Linked DNA regions of Arabidopsis thaliana. The protein of the gene in region 1 purifies or fractionates together with the protein of each later gene. This does not show direct contact. Each region holds a gene or a part of one and is shown in the gene's direction. Other genes may lie near its edges.

Region 1 (5,516 bases):
TCAGACCTAGTTTGTTTAACCTTGGTAGCTATGGCGCTACTTATGTATGTTGCCATCCTTTGGTCTCTTCATGCGATTATATGTCACCGGGAAATGGAGTAGAACTGTTTGATGGTAGTGCGGATTGTTACATTTTCGGCTCATGCTCTGGTCTTCTCCTATTGTACATTGGTTGTCTCTTTGTTGCAAATCCCTTAACAAAAAGGTTTCGAATCCTGGATCATTCTGGATCAAAGCTTATACCAATGATAGTTAATGGTGGACTTAAAGGTCTTAGCGGAATTAGTTATCCTGGAGGTAATGTTGCTTGTACGGAACGAGCGATGTGCGTTGGATTTGCGGTAAATCGAAATCTAACAACCAAGAGATTCAAGATCGTGGGCATACTCGAGATGGAAAACGTATACGGATTCGAGATCAACGAAGGAGACTCTTGGAGATTATCGGAAACGAGTATCACCACTAGCTCAAAAAGTGATCTCACTACGCGGATGAAACCTGTTTACTTGGACAACACTCTTCACTGGCTGAGAAACGATGGCAGCATCATGTCTTTTAATCCCGAGACAGAGCAAGCATGCTTGATTCCTTCCATATTTCATCGGGAACCGGATACGAAGCTACTTTTCGCGGAAAGCGTTAAGATCAATCGCCTGACCCTAATTTCGGGGACGATAGAAACAATCTCCGTTTACACACTTGTCGAGAATCACAAATGGACACTCACAAGGCGGATCAAGAACATATCTATCGAGGAAGAAACGCTTGTATATTGGAACATAGCTATGTACGATGGCAAGTGTCTTGTGGTGAGGGTGAAAAAGATGGGTTTAGAACCTTTGGCAAGTGTTCTTCATGTGTACGACATGGAAGCTAACAGTTGGGGAGTTTTGGTGTCAACCCTTGCTTGGCCCAATTGCGTCCGAGATTTCTATAAATTGACGCCCTCCTTGTTCTTTGTAGAGGAGGATGAGCAACAGAAGGTGCTTGTTGCTTCTAATGACCGACGCATCTCCTATATAAATTCGATTATGGGACTCATTGATACCACCAAGTAAACATTTAGGGCCTATAGATTATACAAAAAATGTCCTGATTTATAAGAATGTTTGTTTCCCATTTGCTTTTATCATTGCACTATTATGGTTTATGTATTTCAAATCTAAAAATTAGTTGTATATTACTATTTCTTTTGGGACAAAAAATCATTTAAGACAATGTTGTTTAAGAACTTGTTCTTCTCTGGCTTGTCAATTTTTCGTCCTGCCCAATAAAGGCCCATCTTGTGTGTTTTGTCGAATCTAACAACAAACTCACACCTTTTGACCAAAAAACAAACTCTCCCCTTTTTTTTTTCCTTTCGTGTAGCTAAACCGTCTCCGGATGTTGACAAACATTGGTTATTCACTTTTTCCACGTCACACTTAAAAACAGAACATAAAAAAAAAACTAATGACGACGCTCCAGTTTTGAATTTTGAAAAAAGAAAAAAAGAACCGTTGAAAAAACATGAGTGCTCAAAGAGGGAATATACCTTTTTAATAATCTCCTTCCTATTTAAACCAATTCTCGAATCTAATTACATTTCCTCTCTCTTTCCCCAAATTGAAAACAAAATCTGAGATTCGCGAAGGAAGAAGAAGAGTTGTCTTGAGAGATTGATAGAGATGGACAACAATGGAGTTAAACCCGCTGTTTCCGCCATGGAAGCCTTTGAAAAGCTTGAGAAAGTAGGTGAAGGGACTTATGGGAAAGTTTACAGAGCAAGAGAGAAAGCTACTGGGATGATCGTTGCTTTGAAGAAGACGCGTCTCCATGAGGATGAAGAAGGTGTTCCTCCCACTACTCTTCGCGAGATCTCTATCTTGCGTATGCTCGCTCGTGATCCTCACATCGTTAGGTTCGATTTCCTTTTACATTTCTGATTCGGTTCAGTCACTTTCTGAAATTCTCCGATTTACTGGTTTTGATTGTGGATTTAGGACTCAATTTCGATTTCTAGGGTTTAGTCCCGATTAATTGATGTCTCAATTGATTTGATGACTCTGATTCTTCCTGCAAATCGCGCTTAGTGTCGCTCTTAGGTGTTACTGGTAGATCTTAGTTTCAGTTTGCTATTTGTTGTGTGGTCCGATCGAGATAAAATGGGTTCCTTATCTTATCCGAATACTAGAAAATGTCAAAGTAGAAGCTCTGTGTTGTGATCTCAGTTTCAACTATTTTTGTGGTGATTGCATTTCTACTGAGAGATTATTGTTATGATGATTATCTTCTTCTACAGGTTGATGGATGTTAAGCAAGGAATAAACAAAGAAGGAAAAACTGTACTTTACCTTGTTTTCGAGTATGTTGATACTGATCTCAAGAAATTCATCAGAAGCTTTCGTCAAGCTGGACAGAACATTCCACAAAATACTGTCAAGGTTTGGATATTTGGAGATTTTGTTCTGCTTTTTTTCTCTCATCCGATAAGCCCCTTTAAGCTAAGAGAAACATGTTCTTGAATTGCAGTGCTTGATGTACCAGTTATGCAAAGGCATGGCTTTTTGCCATGGTCATGGAGTGTTGCACAGGTAAAAATCGTCTTTGTTTTGGAAGAACTATGACTTGAGATAACCCATTTTGACACAGATCTCTAATCCTACTTGTCTTGGTTTCATTACAGGGATCTTAAGCCTCACAATCTCTTGATGGACCGGAAGACAATGACGCTCAAAATAGCAGATCTTGGATTAGCCAGAGCCTTCACTCTCCCAATGAAAAAGTATACACATGAGGTATATAAGTCTACGTTGATGAAACATTAGTCCTGTTTCATTCTAGTTTTTTTTTTTTTTTTTAATTCTATCTTAGTTTATCTGGAGTTATAACTCAGGATGATTTTACCCCCATGATTTCATTTGCAACAGATTCTAACTCTATGGTATAGAGCTCCGGAAGTTCTTCTTGGAGCAACCCATTACTCTACTGGAGTGGATATGTGGTCTGTTGGCTGTATTTTTGGTACAAAATCTTCTCTTACAGTTTCACTGGTTTCAGTTCAATGTCACTAGCAAGAACTAACAGTTTTGTTTCCTTTTTGATGTGTAGCTGAACTAGTGACCAAGCAAGCAATCTTTGCGGGAGACTCTGAGCTCCAACAGCTCCTCCGTATATTCAGGTAAGTCTTTGTGTTCATCTTTACCTTTAAGACACAAACATGACATTCGCTAACTTGGTTGTTCTGTTTCTTTCTTTCCTGTCAAACTCAGGTTGTTGGGAACACCAAACGAAGAAGTTTGGCCTGGAGTAAGCAAACTCAAGGACTGGCATGAATACCCGCAATGGAAACCGTTGAGTCTCTCCACAGCTGTGCCAAACCTCGACGAGGCTGGACTTGATCTCTTATCTGTAAGTCTCTAGTGTCTAACACACCTCTCAGACCTTGCTTGATTAGTAGATAATCACTCTGCTGAGACTAATTTGTGTTTCTCTTTGTGCACAGAAAATGCTGGAGTACGAGCCAGCAAAACGAATCTCAGCAAAGAAAGCTATGGAGCATCCTTACTTCGATGATTTGCCTGACAAGTCCTCTCTCTGAGGCTCTCTTTATAAACTCTCAATAGGATATTTTGTTCTATCTCTGTCTTTGCTTGTCTCAAGCATTTATCTGCTATCTTAGGATGATTGAAGTTTCAATATTCCCTTTTGATTGGGTCTCTATTCCCAATTGTATAACCTTCCAACATTTTTATCAATGAAAGAATATATCAGTTTCTCTAATATTTCAAAGTAGCAAGATTTGCAACTGTTTCCCATTTGTGTAAGTGTGTGTGTGTGGATGTTCAGGCTACGAGCCACATGAAGAATGTTGGCCAGACAGTGAGAGAAACTGAAGCCAAGGCATAACTCCAGAATAGAATCACAGAGCATTCACTTTCTCCTGATCCGAATAGTTGAGTGATTGTACCTGCCAAAAGGTCAAGTGAGTTTATGAGAAAGACAGTGTGATGACATGTTTTGGTAGTATTTTTGTGAGTCTGAAGAACGAACCAAGATTCATCGCTGGGGGAACGACATACTGAAGCAGAAGAACAAACTGGTAAAGCGGTTCGGATGTAACCAAACCCAAGTAATGCGCTCCTCGTACTATGAAAACTCCTAATATTGGCAGCAACAAGTAACGCACAACCACCACACCCATTATGACTGACTTGTTTATTCCTGAACCTCTCAGACCTGTGATTATTATAAGAGAGAGAACAGAGATTTAAGGTTTTGTCTTAGGAAAAAAAGTTTCTGCAGCCATTTGTTATTGTTTATCTACCATTGAGAAGGTTTCCTCCAACAATCAGAGTCAGAACAGGAATCGCCCCGTCCCTTCAAGAAAATTAAGCTACTCAAGTAAGCATTGTTAATTATCACTGACAAGTGAGATTTTTAATATGTTGTAGAATACCCCAATAGAGATACTGAGTCCTCAATCACTCGAAGTGGAGCTGTGTTACCGACTAGTAGCTTCCGTAGTAAAGGATTTAACCCAACCGCAAGCGCGATAAGCTGAAGAGAAAGAGGATTAGTTGCTTAACTAGTAAGAACATACAGAAGCTAGATAGCAGTCGTTTAGTTCAAGGGAACATTGAAACAAACCGCTGCAATAGTTGAAGGAGCAAATATTGTTCGTAGATTGATTTTCTCTGCTACAGAGCACACTCTTTGTTTGACCTTGCCCCAAGTCCCAACCTTGTCACATATACATTCTCTCAAAATCAGTAAGTTGGCTAACAAGAATATAAGAAGGAAAAGTTTAGACTAATACCTGTTCCGCAACTTCGACTTTGGGAGAAATCAGTGGCATTGTAGACGAGGTACTGTTTATTGCGGTTTCTCCAGCAGGATTTGCTAGCATCCGCATAAGATTGTATACATAAGTCCATATGTAAATGGCTCCAATCTGATATACATCACAAAACGTTTTTGACTTGTATTGGCATTAAAAAAAAACTTTAGTAGAGAAGCATAAGAAGTAGTTAAGAAATGGTGACATACCGCCATAGAGAGTGCAATATAACCAAGTCCAAATTTCTCACAAGACTCAGGATCTCCAAAAGGACTTCCCTTTTCATTACATATAGCTGGGATGATAATGAGTGGCATATTCCCCAAATTCCCTGTTGGATTACACAATCTCATCACTGAATCTAAGAAAATGAAAACAGCTTTTGTAAGATGATATTAAAGTTACCAGCAGCACAACAACCAACGATGATGCCACGGAGATGCGAAGGAGGTTTAGTGATTTTGATAACAATCCAACCCAAAAACGAACCAATGATGAATGTTAGCAAAACATTAAGTGGCATGAACCACCTGAAAATGACCCCAACAAAATCAACATTTCATTTTCAAGAAGAATCAGTTCTTTGAATAAAAAACACTTACATTTTCACCATGCTTTCGTATGTAATAGTCTCAGATAAACTGCTTGCAACAAGAGAAGGACTAAACACATAGAAAACTATCTGTAGAAACCAAAA
Region 2 (5,069 bases), on another chromosome or scaffold:
CAACGCACTCAATCCAAAATCAGAGACTTTCAGATTTCCTTGAGCATCTAGAAGCAAGTTTTCCGGCTGCAGTGAAATTGTAAGTATCAATTATCTGCACATTAAAGAAACATACTGCAAACTTGGGCATAAACCAAAAAATATCATACCTTTAAGTCCCGGTGGTACACTCCCCTGCTATGGCAGTAATCAACTGCATTAATAAGCTGCTGAAAATATTTCCGTGCATTCTCTTCTTTCAAGCGCCCATCATGTACCTTCACAAGTTTACACATAATGCAAAGGTTAAATCTACAAAGGTTAAATCTACATCAGAGATAAGAGAACGTTTCAATTGCAAGAAACAGGAACATCTATCAAGATTGACCAGAGCTTAGCATACATGTTCAAACAACAATAGATGGATCAAGTAACAATTATAAATCCATTGGGAGGGATTAAGGAAAACTCACAATTTTGTCAAAAAGCTCTCCACCAGTGCCGAACTCTAGAACAATATATATCTTAGTCTTGCTCGCCAAAACCTGGAACGGTATCAATCATTTCCTTAAAAGTTAGCTTCAGCACATTGGCTTCACATACAAAGAGCTCTAAAGCAAGCCAAAGAAAAATAGAGACACAAATAGAAAAATGGAGATATACCTCATACAGCCGCACTACATTTGGATGGTTTATCAGCTTCATAGTACAAATTTCTCTCCTTATCTGTAAAAACAATCAGGAAAGACACACATCATACTTTTGGACTGAAGATGCATCTAGTATATTATCTTATTAGGAAAGAGAGTTACCTGTTCAGCCATCTTATGCTTAAGAACCTTCTCCTTATCAAGTATTTTGAGAGCCACGCGTTCTCCTGTCTCAGTATTAACAGCACACCGAACTTTCGCAAAAGTGCCTTGTCCAAGCGTCTTTCCAACCTCATACTTTCCAACACGACGCTGAACCTTTGGCCGATTCATCACTCCGAATGTTCACCTCTTGATCTTCAAAAGCTGTTTTTGGAAAATGTAATCTCGCATATAAGAATGATTCCATGAAAAGAATCCAACACAACAACAGGCAAGATAGTGTTTCTTTGCTCAATTCACGGAAACTAAATGCAAAAAAAGTGAAAGAAACCGTCAAGAAAAGAACAGTAATATGCCACAGAATTCAATAAAGACAAAGCGTAAAAACAGCTGAAAATCCACAAGGCAATGACAAATCTAGCAGCGGAGATTTTCTCCGGAAATTCCGATCATCCTTTTTAATTACTCCAAAAACAGCCTAAATCTCTAGAATCATGACTTAGATAAATCATATATTGTTCAAGCAAGCATCTACAAATCCAAAATTCTCCACTAAACCAATATTTGTACTGATACACAATTGAAGCGAGATTCTCGAGTTAGCTACAGAACTAATCATCATCACCATCATATAATATAGAGATTATGCACACTTTACACATAAACCAAAAGCGTAAGCAACTCTCTAAGTTACCGAATTACTCATCGAATTCGAAGCAAAAACATGGAGAATCGACCAACAAACCTGCAAAATTGGACGGAGAAAAGTGAGCGAGTAGAGGTGACAAAACCGATGTAGCCGCCTTTGGGGAGCTCAAGAGTTAGCAGGAGAAATTCAAAAGAAAATCTATGGCGGAGAATTCGCAGGAGAAATAAAAAAATGATGGGCTAATACAAGGAGCAACAAGAGATAGAGATGCGACGAAAGAGATACGATGATTGTAGAGAAATTTGTAGCTAACAGACAAAAACTTATTTAATTTCGTGTAGGGACTCTCTCACTTTAATGGACACTTGTTTTTTAATTTTTTTTTTTCGTATGGGACAATTATACGTTTCTTTCCTTTGTTAAGCTCCTCAATTTTCTTAAGAAATAAAATTATGTTTTTTGCCTTTTTTGGTCAATTATTTTGGGTTAATTAATGTAATGACAAAATATTTGAGTATTCAGATTTTGACTAGATATGGACCTAATCAATAGGTGTTTTTTTTTCTTTCTCATTTGAGTTGTTTCTAAGTAATCGATGAATTCTTATGTTTTTGTTACAGACCATTTAAAAAAAAAAATAGTTGTAACTGATTTTATCCACTATTATATATTTTTAAGTCTTAACTCTGAAGTATATATGAGTTTTTTGTAAGAAAGAAAAACCGTTGCTTCTTCACTCTCACTTACTTACTAGTCACTACAAAGTTCAACAAAAGTCATACATTGCAACCGTTTTGTGTAGTGTCAATGGTTATAGACTGATGACAATTATTAGAACATTGAACAAATCATCAACGGCAAAAGCTCATTAGACTCATTTGTAGCGAGTACATATATATTCTAGAGGTGTGGAATAATAAGACTCATATAAATGATCGAACACTCTTTTTGTTTTTAATATAAAAACTAAAAAAATTTAAAAACAGTTTACTTGGAAAAAATGTAGAGATATTGACTAACTTTTTTATTAAGTATCCATTTAAATTAAAACAAAACATGTAAAATCGATTCAAGTTTAACTATTTCTACAAAAAAGTGTATTCATGTAAAATTTTTGCTTATACATATCCGTTTCTGTAACGTAAATTTAGAGGATACTCTAATCATTTCATATGTATCCATATATTATTTTTTTCAACATATTATAAGTTTTTTTTTAATTTTCCAAATTAATTAATATCCTTAAATATCTATCCTAGTTTAAAAACTTTTTATAATTAAATATTTAAATGAAAAAAATAATGTCAAAAGTTTAATTGATATACTGTAAAATATTCTACTAAATCAGTTTTGAAAATAGTCAAAAAAAATTAATAATTGTTAATTTGATAGATTTATTACCTAGTATATATGTCTAAATTAACTGCAAAGGTTATAGTTTTCTTTATAATTGTCTTAAAAAACTAAACTAAAAAGACAAAAAAATCATAAGAATTACTGAATTAGCTAGTAAATCTTTAGAGGCCCAACCATAAGTTGTTGGGCTCTCTCTCTTTTATAAGCTCTCTTGCTGAATTATTATTAGAGAGGCAAATAATATATTCAGTAGCAAAAAAAAAATCTGGGATTTCTAAAAAAAGGTAAGAAGGAAAATGGCGGATCAGCTCACCGATGACCAGATCTCAGAGTTCAAGGAAGCCTTTAGCCTCTTCGATAAGGATGGTGATGGTATGTTTCTTTCCCAGATCTTTGCGTTTTTTCCCCGATGATTACTCCGTCCGTATACGAGTTCTGGAATTTGTTTGACAGATTTATGATCTTCTTCAGTTTTCTGTATGATTCGTGTTTGTTTCACTTGTGAACGATCTAGCTTTTGGCTAATTCGATAGCGATTCATGACTCACGCTGTGTTTTGTTCTTGTTCTGGTTCAGTCTCGTGATGCAGCAATGAAATGTTTTGGGAAATTTATCCATATGTTGAGATTTTGAGTAGTTTAATTGTTGAAAAAAGGATTGATGTTGTAGATATCAGGAATGTATTCTGCTTTGATTGGTGAAAAACTTGCAAAATTCTGTTGTGCATTATTGGCCTTTGCACGGTGAGATGTGGGTTCAATAGAACGAAGTGGCTAGGGTTTTGATTCTGGCTTTGATACCATGTAAAGAGATTTGGAGAAGAATATTGTGTCTTTTTAATACACATGATTCTAGATTTGCTAGTACACACACATAAGGAAAGACGGAATAAACACAGAATATTTCTTTTACCCTAACACTTTAGGTAGGACTTGGAAGAGTGATTATTTTTAGTTTGTATGAATGGAGTTTCTTTGTTAACTTAGTAGGACTTTGTTGAATGAAAAAAAATCATTCTCTTTTTTACTTACCAGATCTTCATCAGTCGAAATAAGAAATACAATGGCTTTTGTTTGTTGACTGTGGATATAAGTCTGTCTCTAAAAGCTTATTATACCTGAATCTGGTTGCAGGTTGTATCACCACCAAGGAGCTCGGAACCGTGATGAGGTCTCTGGGGCAAAACCCAACAGAAGCTGAGCTTCAAGACATGATCAATGAAGTTGATGCAGATGGGAACGGGACCATTGATTTCCCGGAGTTCCTGAACCTGATGGCAAGGAAAATGAAGGACACTGATTCAGAGGAAGAGCTCAAGGAAGCTTTTAGGGTTTTTGATAAAGACCAGAATGGTTTCATATCTGCAGCAGAGCTTCGACATGTCATGACAAATCTCGGTGAGAAGCTATCCGATGAGGAAGTTGATGAGATGATCCGAGAAGCGGATGTTGATGGCGATGGTCAGATTAACTATGAAGAATTCGTCAAAGTCATGATGGCTAAGTGAGAGAATTTTATCTTAAGCCCACAAAAAGAAACAAGATTTATGATTTCTACAGTGAAGTTACATTATGACTTGATTCTGGTTGCGTTCTTTAGGACATCATTTTGCTTATTTCCCTTGTTTGTTTGGTTAAGCCTTTTAGTGTTATGTGAAGTATGAACTCATATTTTGCTCTCTTTTTTGGGCATCTGATTTTATTCTGTAAATTTTTGTTAGTTGTTGTTTATCTTAAAGCAATGCCCTAAAATTTGGCCGCGTTTAAAATACCAGTAAGAGAATTGACCAACGAAAACGATTTTGCAACATCGCCAACGTTATTGTTATTTTACATGAAAAATATAGTAGTTATATGTATCAATAAAATTTACAAACCATTTTGTTTCTTAGTTTGTAAACCGTAAGTCCCTAACCTTCAAACCTTTTTTCCATTAGGATCATCAAAATTGGAAATTCTTTAGAAACAAATGTAAGTAGCCTCTAAATCTATTGTTGTCTAAAAGTTTTTTAAATGATCAAAGAGGTTGTAAACCTAATTTCGTACACTCCCTGATGCTAGAGAGACCAAAAGATGTAATGTGACCATCTCCCAAACGAAAATTGGACTCTTGACCTCTAGGTCCAGAGACTCTTTAGTCAACTAAGTTTGTTGGTGGATGCTTGGTTTATATAGGGTCAATGTTAACCCGATCCAGATAGCGAACCGGACTACCTTATAGGTCATCAGATCATCGTATTCACCCGCGGGTCAAATTATTATAATTTATTCTAT

The links. Proteins that work in one complex are often made in the same cells at the same time.
Region 2: the proteins of CDKB2;2 (region 1) and CAM6 purify together in Arabidopsis thaliana (affinity purification with western blotting, with the first as the bait; one study listed by BioGRID). This does not show direct contact.

The regions. Positions count from the first base shown.
Region 1 is NC_003070.9:7,290,816-7,296,331, reverse strand, and holds CDKB2;2 (cyclin-dependent kinase B2;2), read left to right. Parts: upstream 1-1,585; 5' UTR 1,586-1,667; coding exon 1,668-1,900; intron 1,901-2,281; coding exon 2,282-2,423; intron 2,424-2,511; coding exon 2,512-2,573; intron 2,574-2,665; coding exon 2,666-2,777; intron 2,778-2,909; coding exon 2,910-3,003; intron 3,004-3,090; coding exon 3,091-3,160; intron 3,161-3,251; coding exon 3,252-3,390; intron 3,391-3,484; coding exon 3,485-3,580; 3' UTR 3,581-3,824; downstream 3,825-5,516. Other genes in the region: AT1G20940 (F-box family protein), read left to right, coding at 1-1,058; AT1G20925 (Auxin efflux carrier family protein), read right to left, coding at 3,825-3,949, 4,033-4,218, 4,307-4,359, 4,439-4,539, 4,630-4,722, 4,799-4,933, 5,029-5,150, 5,225-5,349 and 1 more.
Region 2 is NC_003076.8:7,213,974-7,219,042, reverse strand, and holds CAM6 (calmodulin 6), read left to right. Parts: upstream 1-2,990; 5' UTR 2,991-3,092; coding exon 3,093-3,168; intron 3,169-3,929; coding exon 3,930-4,303; 3' UTR 4,304-4,569; downstream 4,570-5,069. Other genes in the region: CIPK26 (Ca2+regulated serine-threonine protein kinase family protein), read right to left, coding at 1-66, 150-257, 453-524, 643-705, 792-962. UniProt on the Arabidopsis thaliana protein: Calmodulin mediates the control of a large number of enzymes, ion channels and other proteins by Ca(2+). Among the enzymes to be stimulated by the calmodulin-Ca(2+) complex are a number of protein kinases and phosphatases.